Saccharomyces cerevisiae S288C: one gene and its partners. The protein of the gene in region 3 purifies or fractionates together with the protein of the main gene of each other region. This does not show direct contact. Each region holds a gene or a part of one and is shown on either strand. Other genes may lie near its edges. The genes, in order: PET9, COR1, QCR7 and QCR10.

Region 1 (3,409 bases), on a different chromosome or scaffold from region 3:
CATGATAAAAATTGCATATATGTGGGTAGAAACCTTAAAAGTTATAATAAAGGGAATCCCACGCAGGAGCGGCATGGGAAGATAATATAATGAAACGAGCAAAAAATGGAGTCAACGTATGGCGTATTAAGATTGTGTTTATTTTTATGCAGGAAGGGGAATCGCACAGATAGTCAATAACCAACTGGCCGACTAACTGCATAAGAAATCGTTGTTTTTTTTTTCGAAGGCTCATTCAGATAAAGAAATCACTACGCGTTTTGTCTGTGAAGTCACAGATTTGAAAAATGAGAACGAAAAACATAACCACCTATGAGATTGAGTCCCTACATTTTACCATTTACGCTACTAAGTTACCCAATATCGTAACACGAAATAACAAGTTAAGGGGAGGAATGAAAAGGTTATCAAAGCGGCAGGAGACAGGAGGAATAACGCAGGACGAGACCCAAAGATAATATTTCTATAACGAAGTCGTTCGAACCCATCAGATTTCTGCTTTGATTACATACACAAGCTTTGTTTCTTTCTACAGGTGATTGTATGTGGGCTTATGGTATGCCTGCAGGACGCGTATGCATGTACGACGGCACGACCCGGAGCAAAACGGCGAGTGCTCTAACGCGGTGTATGGGCTAGATTCGTAATAGGGCTCTGGGTTTGCTGCAAGGGGTAATTATCAGCGATGGAATGACTCCGTTACCGCCCGACGCTATGTACGCCTTTTCCGCGTGCGCCGGTCTTTACCGGCAGGGGAGAATGTGGTGACGGCGGAGCCGGCGTATGGTGCCTCTACAAAAAATACGAAGTCTCATTTTAGTCACACTGATTTTCATAAGAAATGAGGAAAAAGAAAAGAGATGAAAATTGAGAAAAAAAAAAAAGCATTGTCGGGTAACAAATTATGTAGTGAAGATCAAAGGATATACACACAAACGAAGATGCGCATTAGCCACGTCCATCCCTTTCCCTTTTTCCCTTTCTACTCCGTTTTTACAATAATGTACGTTATAAAACAAGCGGCTGAAGAACAAGTTGGGAATAAATGTCAGCAAGGAAGATTGGTGTAAAGTGAAATCAGATAAGCAACTTAATACACAACCTCAAAAAGAAAAAATTACCATGTCATTCATACCTATTGTATGTGGTATGAAGAGTTTCGACTCTTCATACGATACCGTTCCCGGACATCAAAACCTGTATTGCCCGAATTGTCACAATTATAGTGTCGGCCCCATAAAAAGAAAGGAATTTTTCACTATTTGGTTTATACCGTTGGTTCCGGTCTTCTGGGGAAAACAGTTGCACTGCCCCATATGCAATTGGCGACAAGATTTTAAGAATGACGAACAGCTTAATAAAGTCATTCAAGAACAACAAAACTTACGACAAAAGCAGCCCAACTGATAACGAAATAATTTCCTTTTCTTCCTCTTATATATGTATTTATATATATGTGTTCACTATAACCATACATATATTATACAGAAGTATAGACACGATTTTTCCATACGTAACAAATAACATCACGATGCACGAGCACTGTTTCCAATGGAGAACAAGCGAAAGGCGGTAAATGCGCTATGCTGATTGGTGTAGAGCGCGGGCCAATGAGAAGGCCCCACTCTCAGAGGGTGAGGTGCGATTATCGGGGACATGTCTCCGTCGATCGGGCCCACGTCGTCGCACAATATAAATACCATTTGAGTTTTTAATATTAATTTTTCACGACAACCCACTCAAAAAAGTATATATTCACTGTTAGTTATACGGAACATTGCAATACATCTACAAGTCAAAGGAGCCCCTCTATATTATTTATATTTGTCGTTGTTCTTTTTTGTGTGCTCTTTTATACTTCAGAATCATACATTAACATACATATAAGCAAATAGCCATGTCTTCCAACGCCCAAGTCAAAACCCCATTACCTCCAGCCCCAGCTCCAAAGAAGGAATCTAACTTTTTGATTGATTTCTTAATGGGTGGTGTCAGTGCCGCTGTCGCCAAAACTGCTGCATCTCCCATCGAAAGAGTTAAACTTTTGATCCAAAACCAAGATGAAATGTTAAAACAAGGTACTTTGGACAGAAAATACGCAGGTATCTTAGACTGTTTCAAGAGAACCGCTACACAGGAAGGTGTTATCTCATTCTGGAGAGGTAACACTGCTAACGTTATCCGTTATTTCCCCACTCAAGCTTTGAATTTCGCCTTCAAGGACAAGATCAAGGCCATGTTTGGTTTCAAGAAGGAAGAAGGTTACGCCAAATGGTTTGCCGGTAACTTGGCATCTGGTGGTGCTGCTGGTGCCTTGTCATTACTATTTGTTTACTCTTTGGATTATGCAAGAACTAGATTGGCTGCTGACTCCAAGTCCTCTAAAAAGGGTGGTGCTCGTCAATTCAACGGTTTGATCGATGTCTACAAGAAGACCTTAAAATCTGATGGTGTTGCTGGTCTTTACAGAGGTTTCTTACCTTCTGTCGTTGGTATTGTTGTCTACAGAGGTCTATACTTCGGTATGTACGATTCTTTGAAGCCTCTATTGTTGACTGGTTCTTTGGAAGGTTCATTCTTGGCTTCATTCTTGTTGGGTTGGGTTGTTACTACTGGTGCTTCTACATGTTCTTACCCATTGGATACCGTTAGAAGAAGAATGATGATGACCTCCGGTCAAGCTGTTAAGTACGACGGTGCCTTTGACTGTTTGAGGAAGATTGTTGCTGCTGAAGGTGTTGGTTCTCTATTCAAGGGTTGTGGTGCTAACATCTTAAGAGGTGTCGCAGGTGCTGGTGTTATCTCAATGTACGACCAACTGCAAATGATCTTGTTTGGTAAGAAGTTCAAATAAGTCTAATCTGGCTTGATTCTTAATCTAAATTCTTTCTCACATTTTCCTTTTTTTCTTCTTTGGATTTTTGGTGTTTAATGAGTGACACGATTTGTTTTGATAATATTATTATCCTCCTATTTTTTTAGAAATTCTTTTCAACAAGAATCAAAGATTCATAAAAAAAGAAAACGATGAAATTTTTTGAACAACTTTTACGTATAAAGAAGAAAAAAAAAAAATTCTAAATATCCAGTAAATAGTTTTATATTAGTAGTATTCTTTCCCACTTTTTAAATGTCATCACATGATGTTTCTTATAAAATGCAATTTTTTTATTACTTAATCACCGCCAAATAGGTCTATCACTCTTTGTGCCGGTGGCAGTACTTTGCTTAAGGTTACTGGACAATGAACCACTTGTCTTACTTTTAACCAACCGAGTCTTTACATTTGTGTGTTCCTTGGATTTTGCAGAGGTTCCTGACGATAAGTTGTTCATAGACGTCGACCTAGAGAACGTTGTTTGCTTGTAAAGTCTATCAAAAACGGAAACTGAATTCTTCAATTGCGAAT
Region 2 (3,541 bases), on a different chromosome or scaffold from region 3:
TAGTGAGTCCATCGATGAGCTCTTCACAAGAGGATAAGATGGTTGCGATTGCTGGTATTACCTACCGTGAGAATATTAGCAGTCCATTAGGCAAGAAGTCCAGATGATCGAGAGATGACTTCTCTACCAACAACTTCCCATTTGCATAATATCATTAAATATGTTTTACCAAAAAAAAGTTCATCTTTCTTATTTTTAAAATCGATAGTTCTTCAGGATCTTGGTCACATATATATATATATATATATATACACTTATATAAAATAAGACGTTTATTTAATCTTGTTTTCTTACGAGTTTCTTTTTTTTTCTTTTTTTATTTTCTACTTTTGCAAGGAACAGTGACCTTGCCAATAAATAATGAAGACTACTTGGGTTACTAGAATATAAAATACATGTAAAAAATTCATTTATGGTGTGAGTGTGCGAGCGTGCCTGTATACATCTAGCAGCTTGCTTATTTCTATTTTATGTGCATGGAAAATATATTATCACACATCTTACCATCTCATCATGGACATGTCACTTCTGATTCTCATGTAATCTAATAACCCTTCAATTTGGCCTGTACCAGCAATAGCAATATCTTGGTCCCATAATCTCTTACCGGCCCAAGCCTTAACATCTTTGACTGTGATTGCATCAATTTTCTTGAAAGCCTCACCCAGAGACAGTTTGGAGCCCTTGATTAGGACTTCTGCGCCTAACAAGTTAGCGTCATTGACGGGATTACCAGATTCGTATAACTGCCCTAATTGTAATTTCAACAGCGATTTGGCACGTTCAACTTCAGTATCAGTGACAGAAATGGTCAATCTGTTCCATTGTTTCAAAGTGAAATGGATGAGGTCGTCAATCATGGTAACGTTTCTCGTGGCCGTAGAGAACCCCCATAAACCGGAATCTTTGTAAGAAAGAGAGAAATGATTGAAATTGTCGCATAATTGGTACTCCTGTATGTTGTCTAACAATTTGATACCTTGTAATCTAGAAGCGGGTTCGAAGGCGTTGTATGAGCCGAAAATTTGGGCGGCTAATTTAGCAACAAAATAATTTGGTGAATTGACAGGTTCACCTTCCACAGCCAGCGAAATCCACGCCTTTGGCAAGGTGTCGTCTCTCAATCTAACTTCGGAACCCAAGAAAGCGGCCTTTTTCTTGAGTACGGGCTTGGTACCGGTTTGCAAACTTAGGTTTTTGGATTCGATGGAATTTACTAAATCCTCATGTTTGATATTACCGGTACCAACAACAACAGCATTTGAATTCAAGAAATGGTTATTGGCAAAAGATTCCAGATCAGCAACAACTAAATTCTCCAAGGACTCCAAAGTACCTCTAGTAGGCAAAGATAATGGAGTGTTTTGGAAGGCGGTGGAGTGTAAATGTTCCAAAACTCTGTTGGGATGGTCGTTTTCTTCAAAATCTTGAACTTGCTTCAAGACAGATTTCTTCGTGGCCTCGAAGTTAGAAGAAGATAGCAAATTAGCCTTTTGTTGGATGAAAGACTGATTCAAGAAGTCTAGTGATTTATCGGTAGAACCTGGCAAAGAAGATACAATGTAAGATTGGAAGTCTCTGGAGATATTGGAAGACAATGCCAAACCTTCCTTGGCGGCAACAGCAGAGTTTTCTTTGGATAGAAAGATGTTCTTCCATAAATTGGAAACCCCGTTGTTATAAGGGTTTTCGTTGGCAGCACCGGAGCCGAAGACAACACCGACAGAGGCTGTGTGAGCGGAAGGATTATGCTCAGTGGCTACAACTATACCGTTAGATAATTGCGTTACTTCGGCCTTGGGGGTTGCTACAGCTGTAGCCAAAGACCTCTTGAACTGGTTAGATACAGTCTTTGAAGTTACTGTTCTTAGCATTTTTTTTGTTTATATATCTTGTGTTTTCTTTCTCAGTGATATGGTGACGATGATGTTCTTCTCGTATTATTACTCCACAATTGTCTTGATCAGCAATGGTAGCAATTTAATATTAGGATTCGTTACCTATACGAACAGGGATGATATAATATTTTTTCTGTGAAAGCTATTGCTTTATTATACGCTGTTTTCCTCGAATAAGACGGGGAAAGAGAGTAGGGGAATATCGGTTAGGGAGCGCTGTAGGCCTTTAATTTTCTTGTTTGGTTTTTATTTGGTGCAGCTGACAGCGCGGGCCCTTGAACTTCTGGAGGACAAAAAACACTGTTAATTTATTGGCATTTCATTGGTGCAGAAAGCGTGCTGTCCGGGTCACAGTTAAAGTTCATATACATGTTACCCTACCCAGTCCGGGTTATGTAAATCGTGAAAAAGAATATCTGGTTTTAAAATCTCTCTTTTCTTTTTCCCCCTGGTGGGTATGGGTGAAATGCTAGAGAGGCAAAAAAAAAGGTTGCCAAGTAAAGCGAAGTATTTGAAGTATACTGCAAGCATCACCGAAACAGGAAATCACGAAGCTGACTCATCTGTGATTTTCCGTCCCCACCATAGTGATGTAACATGCAGTAACGCACGGCGGGCCGAAAGTCGGACTTTACCCCAGATTTGTAGTTGTATCCTATTGGATCACGGGCGACGGACAAGACCCGAAGTGCGGACCGGCATGGTCAGCTTGCACGGAAGCTTTAAGGGTTTCCCTTGTTTCGGCATTAGAAGAGGCATTTCGCACGTTTTACCGGGTCAGAAACTTCGAGGAAGCTGTGACAATTGGAAAAAAAGGCAAAACTAAATGCAATGTATCCGGTTGCCCATGCATTATTTGTGATGTTTTCGGATGTAGTTCGCTGCGCTCCGCGGCGATATATCCTCTAGCGAGAGGCATATGTATAAATATATATATATATATCTAACAAAAGCATTCAAGTTTCTTTCTCTGGTGTTACGTCTTTGTTCGACTTTCTCTGCTTACAGCCCTGTATGACCAAAGAAAAAATAAAAAGACAGCTACATACCAGCAGAAATTTTTTATAGTATTACACTATACATCCAAGTTTTTTCACAATTATTTATTGTTTTTCTCACATAGAAAATTCCGCATACTGCGATTATAATGAACTCTACAACCCCATCGATTCAAGATCAATATATTTTGGCCAGCAAAGTACGCTCCAAGCTGGCAAAATGCGTTAGCGTGACTACTAAAAACAAAGACTACAACCTGAGAGTTTTAGTCGGGCACGCAAACTTGCTGGATAAGATTACAGAAAATGTGGAAACTCATAATGCTGCAACCAACGCCCTTGCCGGAGACCCTTTCAGTAAAGGACCTGAAAACTTGTCCATCGAACATATCGAATTGTCCAATGCTAATGCTAGTAAAAATGACGTCGGTAAGGAGGAAAATGCAGAAAAGACGATAGAAAGTGAAGATTACTGTGATTTTTACTCTAGTGACGAAGATCCAGATGCTGACACTCTATCTTCTACTGACAGTGAAGACGATGATGATTATGAAGACTATGATTTTGAGTACGATTACTCTGGCGGTGATTATAACAAGAAAATTGACATGTACTTTAGTTTTCACACCGCACCTAATTATCAAT
Region 3 (2,699 bases):
GAGAGTATTCCGGAAGAAATACTACGAGGAGAACCCCTCCACGTATACAACGAAACTAGTGGATCTGATAAAAGTGTCATTTTGCCGACGAAACAAAAATCTGCTCCCATTAACAAGGATAGTAAGCACAGTTCAACTCAGTATGAAGAAAAATCTTTTAAGAAGAATAGAAAGTTCAAAATTTTCGCCAAGTTATTCTGCACTAGGAAATAGTAGAATAAATTTAAGATATATAGACCACTCGATACCCCATCACCTGCATAATTATAGAAAAAATAAATACTAATAGATACCCGATTTATAACACTAGACATTACAATATACGAATTTCATAATAAAATTTTAAGTTCAGACTATAGATAAATAAATAATATGAAGTAAACGTTTCAAGCAAACGCTTATATATATATAGAGAGATAATAAAGGATATGATTTAGTCTCTGTCCCTTCTTTCAAATGAATATTTAATGCCTTTTTTTTTTCGGGTTGTGTGTTCGTGGTGATTTTTTTATTCTTCTTTTCATTTGGAGACCTCTATGTTGTCTAACTCGTCCTTCTCCTTAGCTGCAGCTTCAGCTTCTAATATGTATGGCAACAGGTAAGGAACATCCTCTTGGGCTTTGATCCATTCGTTTCTTGGCAGTAAATGATGAGTCAACTCGGTTTGATGAGCCCTGATTATTCTATATGCTCTGGCATAAGATTCATCTTCAGGGAGTCTTCTTAAAGCGGTCTGCATGATGGGATTTTCCTCTGCAATTAAGTCGTCAAATTTGAGCCCTAACTTCTTGTAACCTGCGAGGTTAATGAACTGATTGGCAACTGGAACACATAACTTGGAGAGGACGGGTGACTTCAAAATATAGTCACCAATTCTCGCAATAGACGTAAAAGACTGTGGCATTTTGTTCTTTCTGGAACGTTTAATTACAGTTACTAATATTCTGATAAATTGTCCAACAACAACCTTTACTGCTATTTTTCCAAGCTTTTACATCTCTTCCCTTTTATTACTGCTCTATGAAAGTAAATTGTCAGGCCCCCCGCCGGGGTGACCCGATAAAAAGCGCGTCGCTCCTGATTGGTCAAAACAAGATCACAGCGCAGTTACACATCTATAGACAATGTACATATGGCTAATAGACCTTAATAGTGATACTCTGTTGGTTTTTGGCCTGCTGTGTTGGGGAAACCGCATTGCAGTAACGACTTGTCCACAAGATGAGGATCTTCAGTGAGGTTCTCTAGTTTTTCTCTGTCTTTAACGAGGATCATACCACAGTACCCCGTGGAGTTAATGTTTAACATCAATGGCGGTCCACTCTTGGCATGCGATCTTGGAACTACACAGATCCATTTCTTGGTCAGTAGCACATTGTATGACTTGGTCAACTCCGGAGACTCATTGGTCCAATCTTGGAAAAATGTAAGTGCTCTCTGCATCAAAGATACGTAACACATAGCAAGAAGATCTTCGTCCACTTGATCAGACGATTCCGGCAGCGGCAAGACGAAATGAGCAAAGGAAACCTTATCATCTTGTAATGGCTCTGCGTTGAAGGTGGGCAAGAAATGATCCTTTCCGTTGCACAATACGTCCTGAAAAGGTATAAATTTTTCAGGCATTTGCATGATCTGCAAGTGTTTGTGATCTTGTGAGGAACCGCTATGAGGTCCACAATTATAAAAGACCAGATACCTTTCACAAGTGACATCATCGTCCTTGTCTCCTTGGAGAGAACAGAGCACATTATAAGCAGTCATCAAGTCACTTGGCGTCAAAGCAGATCTCTGGTCTTTAAACTCGCTTGTCACTAGGAGACTATGTTCAGGGACCACAGGAAATTTGTTGAGTAGCAGCTTATATTCTCCGTCACCATTTAGATCTTCAGTCACCACTAGTTCTTCGTCGGGATTGGCGAACGGGTCCTCCGCCTTTGAATCGCTATTCTTGTTAGCGTCTGGCTTAAGTGCCAAAGATGGAGCAAATGTCACCCAATATTGTGTCGTCGTTTGAGGATCTTTCAACTTCTTGGATTCTGCATGCGTTACTTTCAGATGCCCATTCTTTTTGGCTGCAACGAACTTATCGTGGATTTTCTGTTTCAAATTCTCTTCAATCATCTTTGTCTTCCTATTTTCTCTGACCCAGGGGCTCGGTTGCCTTTTAATTTTATTATATTTCAATAGTTCAACACATTTTCGAAACAGGCAAAAGCTTTACACGTGACGTTGGTATGATCGAGTATTATTCATATGGTCGTTCATGATTGCGTATTTACGACAGTATCTCAAAAAGTTTCACTCAAATGCGGAGAACTATCCGCGATCTACGCATTGAGCTCCTTTAGTTTGTAATTGCCGGGACCGATTTTTTTTTTTTTACTTCTGACTGTTCCACTTAGGAATCTTACATGACGTTAAACGACTAGCGCAGTTCCCCCAATATCGGCCGAAATTTTATTTCACCAACATAACGATGAGTAAAAAGAACTTATGTTTCTGAACAGATTGATCATTAAAACTAAAAAACTACCAGAATAAAGAAATTTATAGTTCCAATTGAGTGCATGCGAAAAGAATCGCAATGCCGCGAATTACTCAAGAGATATCTTACAATTGCGATTATGGCGACAATACTTTCAACCTTGCTATTGATATAGGAGGCACTCTGGCTAAAGTAGTCTTCTCGCCTATAC
Region 4 (2,519 bases), on a different chromosome or scaffold from region 3:
AGCGGAGCAGACACGGATGATATCGATGAGAATGATGAATCTGGGCAAAGTATTCTATTAAATATTATTTCCCAGCTGAAGCCAGGTTGTGATTTATCTAGAATCACACTTCCGACATTTATTCTGGAAAAAAAATCGATGTTGGAGAGAATCACTAATCAATTACAATTCCCAGATGTTCTTTTAGAAGCACACTCCAATAAAGACGGGCTGCAAAGGTTCGTTAAAGTGGTAGCATGGTACCTAGCAGGTTGGCACATTGGGCCCAGGGCTGTGAAGAAGCCCCTAAATCCCATTCTTGGAGAACACTTTACAGCTTATTGGGATTTGCCTAACAAGCAACAAGCCTTTTACATTGCAGAACAAACGAGTCACCATCCTCCTGAATCTGCGTATTTTTACATGATTCCAGAATCGAATATTAGAGTTGATGGAGTTGTTGTGCCAAAATCGAAATTTTTAGGAAACTCAAGTGCTGCAATGATGGAGGGGTTAACTGTATTGCAATTCCTTGATATCAAGGATGCAAATGGTAAACCAGAGAAATATACTCTATCGCAACCAAATGTTTACGCAAGGGGAATTCTGTTTGGCAAGATGAGGATTGAATTGGGAGATCACATGGTCATTATGGGTCCTAAGTATCAAGTGGATATTGAGTTCAAAACAAAGGGCTTTATTTCTGGTACCTATGATGCAATTGAAGGTACAATTAAGGATTACGATGGTAAGGAATACTACCAAATTAGTGGTAAGTGGAATGATATTATGTATATCAAAGATTTGAGGGAAAAAAGCTCTAAAAAGACTGTTCTCTTCGATACTCATCAGCATTTTCCTCTAGCTCCTAAAGTCCGCCCATTGGAGGAACAGGGAGAATACGAATCGAGAAGGCTTTGGAAGAAGGTTACGGATGCGCTGGCTGTACGTGACCATGAAGTAGCTACAGAAGAAAAGTTTCAGATAGAAAACCGCCAAAGAGAGCTGGCCAAAAAGAGGGCCGAAGACGGCGTTGAATTTCATTCAAAACTATTTAGAAGGGCAGAGCCAGGTGAGGATTTAGATTATTATATTTACAAGCACATCCCTGAAGGGACCGACAAGCATGAAGAACAGATCAGGAGCATTTTGGAAACTGCCCCGATTTTACCAGGACAGACATTCACTGAAAAATTTTCTATTCCGGCTTATAAAAAGCATGGAATCCAAAAGAATTAGGCTTCTCATTCTATTTTAATTATACTAGTACGATTTCTCACTCTGTAATTTAATATCAGTGTAATATGCACCTAGTTATGGGTAGTTTTTGCTAACGTTACGAGCCGCGAAACTGTCCTCAATCTTCACCACTACCTCTAATGACTGAAGAATGCTATGCGATATAACGCTGTCGCACTTTGAATATATACTTATATTTACATAGTTTTCAAGTGCGTATTACTATTGCAAAGTAGTATTTTGTCACGTGATTTTGATCCAATTAAAACTAAATATGGTTCAACCCGTTGTTTCCGCATCAAAAAACCATACCATTTATCAAGGGGACGGGATATATCACATAACAGTTTGAATGCATAATTTGTTATAGATATCTTCTGGAATAATCTTCACAGCAAAAGCGCAAGTCGAATAATATATCGATAAATACAATCCATAAGACTTAAAACTAACCTCAATGGCGGTAAGTATCCTATCATATTATGTGAGCTAGAACCGAATTAGTATACTAACATTTATAATACAGTACACTTCTCATCTGTCTTCAAAAACTGGTCTACATTTCGGTAGACTTTCTTTAAGAAGTTTAACAGCTTATGCTCCGAATTTAATGTTATGGGGTGGTGCTAGCATGCTTGGGCTATTTGTATTCACAGAAGGATGGCCTAAGTTTCAAGATACGCTATACAAAAAGATTCCGTTGTTAGGACCTACATTGGAAGATCATACTCCACCAGAAGATAAACCTAATTGAAGCCAAAACATCCAACCGGCTGAGTGATTTTATTTATTTGTTTTACGTTCTTTTCTATCATTTTGGAAGAGGAATTAATGCAAAACACATTTGTATTTTTTTTTATTTTTGCATATTCTCGATTATCTATACATATTTTTAAACTGGATCATAAAAGGTATAAAAAGTAATTGATCCATACAACATTTTTAAATATTTACCCCTCTATTTTCAGAATATTTACTAAAACATCAGTTATCAAAGAGTAGGGAAAAGTTAACTACAGGTTTGTTTTTCCTCTTTTTATGTATCTTTTGAGCTTTGTAATTGGGCAGCACATCTCTATGTTTTCAGGGAAACCTATTTCATTCGCCATTTTGATGATTTAGGCATACGCCAATGCTAACGCCGTTTCTTGTAATTTCTATTTTTTCAAATGGAGTACTTTACCTTCCTCCCGCAGCTGGAACTTTCAACCCGCCGGAAGAAAAGACCAAATAATATTATAATTAATATTTAAAACCCTTGAAAGATCATCTCTTAAAATAACCTCAAATAGTGTAAATCC

What was found.
Region 1: the proteins of QCR7 (region 3) and PET9 purify together in Saccharomyces cerevisiae (affinity purification with mass spectrometry; 3 studies listed by BioGRID, with this or other methods). This does not show direct contact.
Region 2: the proteins of QCR7 (region 3) and COR1 purify together in Saccharomyces cerevisiae (affinity purification with mass spectrometry; 4 studies listed by BioGRID, with this or other methods). This does not show direct contact.
Region 4: the proteins of QCR7 (region 3) and QCR10 purify together in Saccharomyces cerevisiae (affinity purification with mass spectrometry, with the first as the bait; 2 studies listed by BioGRID). This does not show direct contact.

Annotation. Positions count from the first base shown.
Region 1 is NC_001134.8:162,486-165,894, reverse strand, and holds PET9 (ADP/ATP carrier protein PET9), read left to right. Parts: upstream 1-1,897; coding exon 1,898-2,854; downstream 2,855-3,409. Other genes in the region: YBL029C-A (uncharacterized protein), read left to right, coding at 1,123-1,407; SHE1 (She1p), read right to left, coding at 3,180-3,409.
Region 2 is NC_001134.8:133,643-137,183, forward strand, and holds COR1 (ubiquinol--cytochrome-c reductase subunit COR1), read right to left. Parts: upstream 1,875-3,541; coding exon 501-1,874; downstream 1-500. Other genes in the region: PSY4 (Psy4p), read left to right, coding at 1-107; YBL044W (uncharacterized protein), read left to right, coding at 2,356-2,724; ECM13 (Ecm13p), read left to right, coding at 3,046-3,541. UniProt on the Saccharomyces cerevisiae protein: Component of the ubiquinol-cytochrome c oxidoreductase, a multisubunit transmembrane complex that is part of the mitochondrial electron transport chain which drives oxidative phosphorylation.
Region 3 is NC_001136.10:1,495,645-1,498,343, forward strand, and holds QCR7 (ubiquinol--cytochrome-c reductase subunit 7), read right to left. Parts: upstream 905-2,699; coding exon 521-904; downstream 1-520. Other genes in the region: HLR1 (Hlr1p), read left to right, coding at 1-213; APA2 (bifunctional AP-4-A phosphorylase/ADP sulfurylase), read right to left, coding at 1,147-2,124; CAB1 (pantothenate kinase), read left to right, coding at 2,588-2,699. UniProt on the Saccharomyces cerevisiae protein: Component of the ubiquinol-cytochrome c oxidoreductase, a multisubunit transmembrane complex that is part of the mitochondrial electron transport chain which drives oxidative phosphorylation.
Region 4 is NC_001140.6:106,151-108,669, forward strand, and holds QCR10 (ubiquinol--cytochrome-c reductase subunit 10), read left to right. Parts: upstream 1-1,675; coding exon 1,676-1,681; intron 1,682-1,744; coding exon 1,745-1,972; downstream 1,973-2,519. Other genes in the region: oxysterol-binding protein related protein OSH7, read left to right, coding at 1-1,218.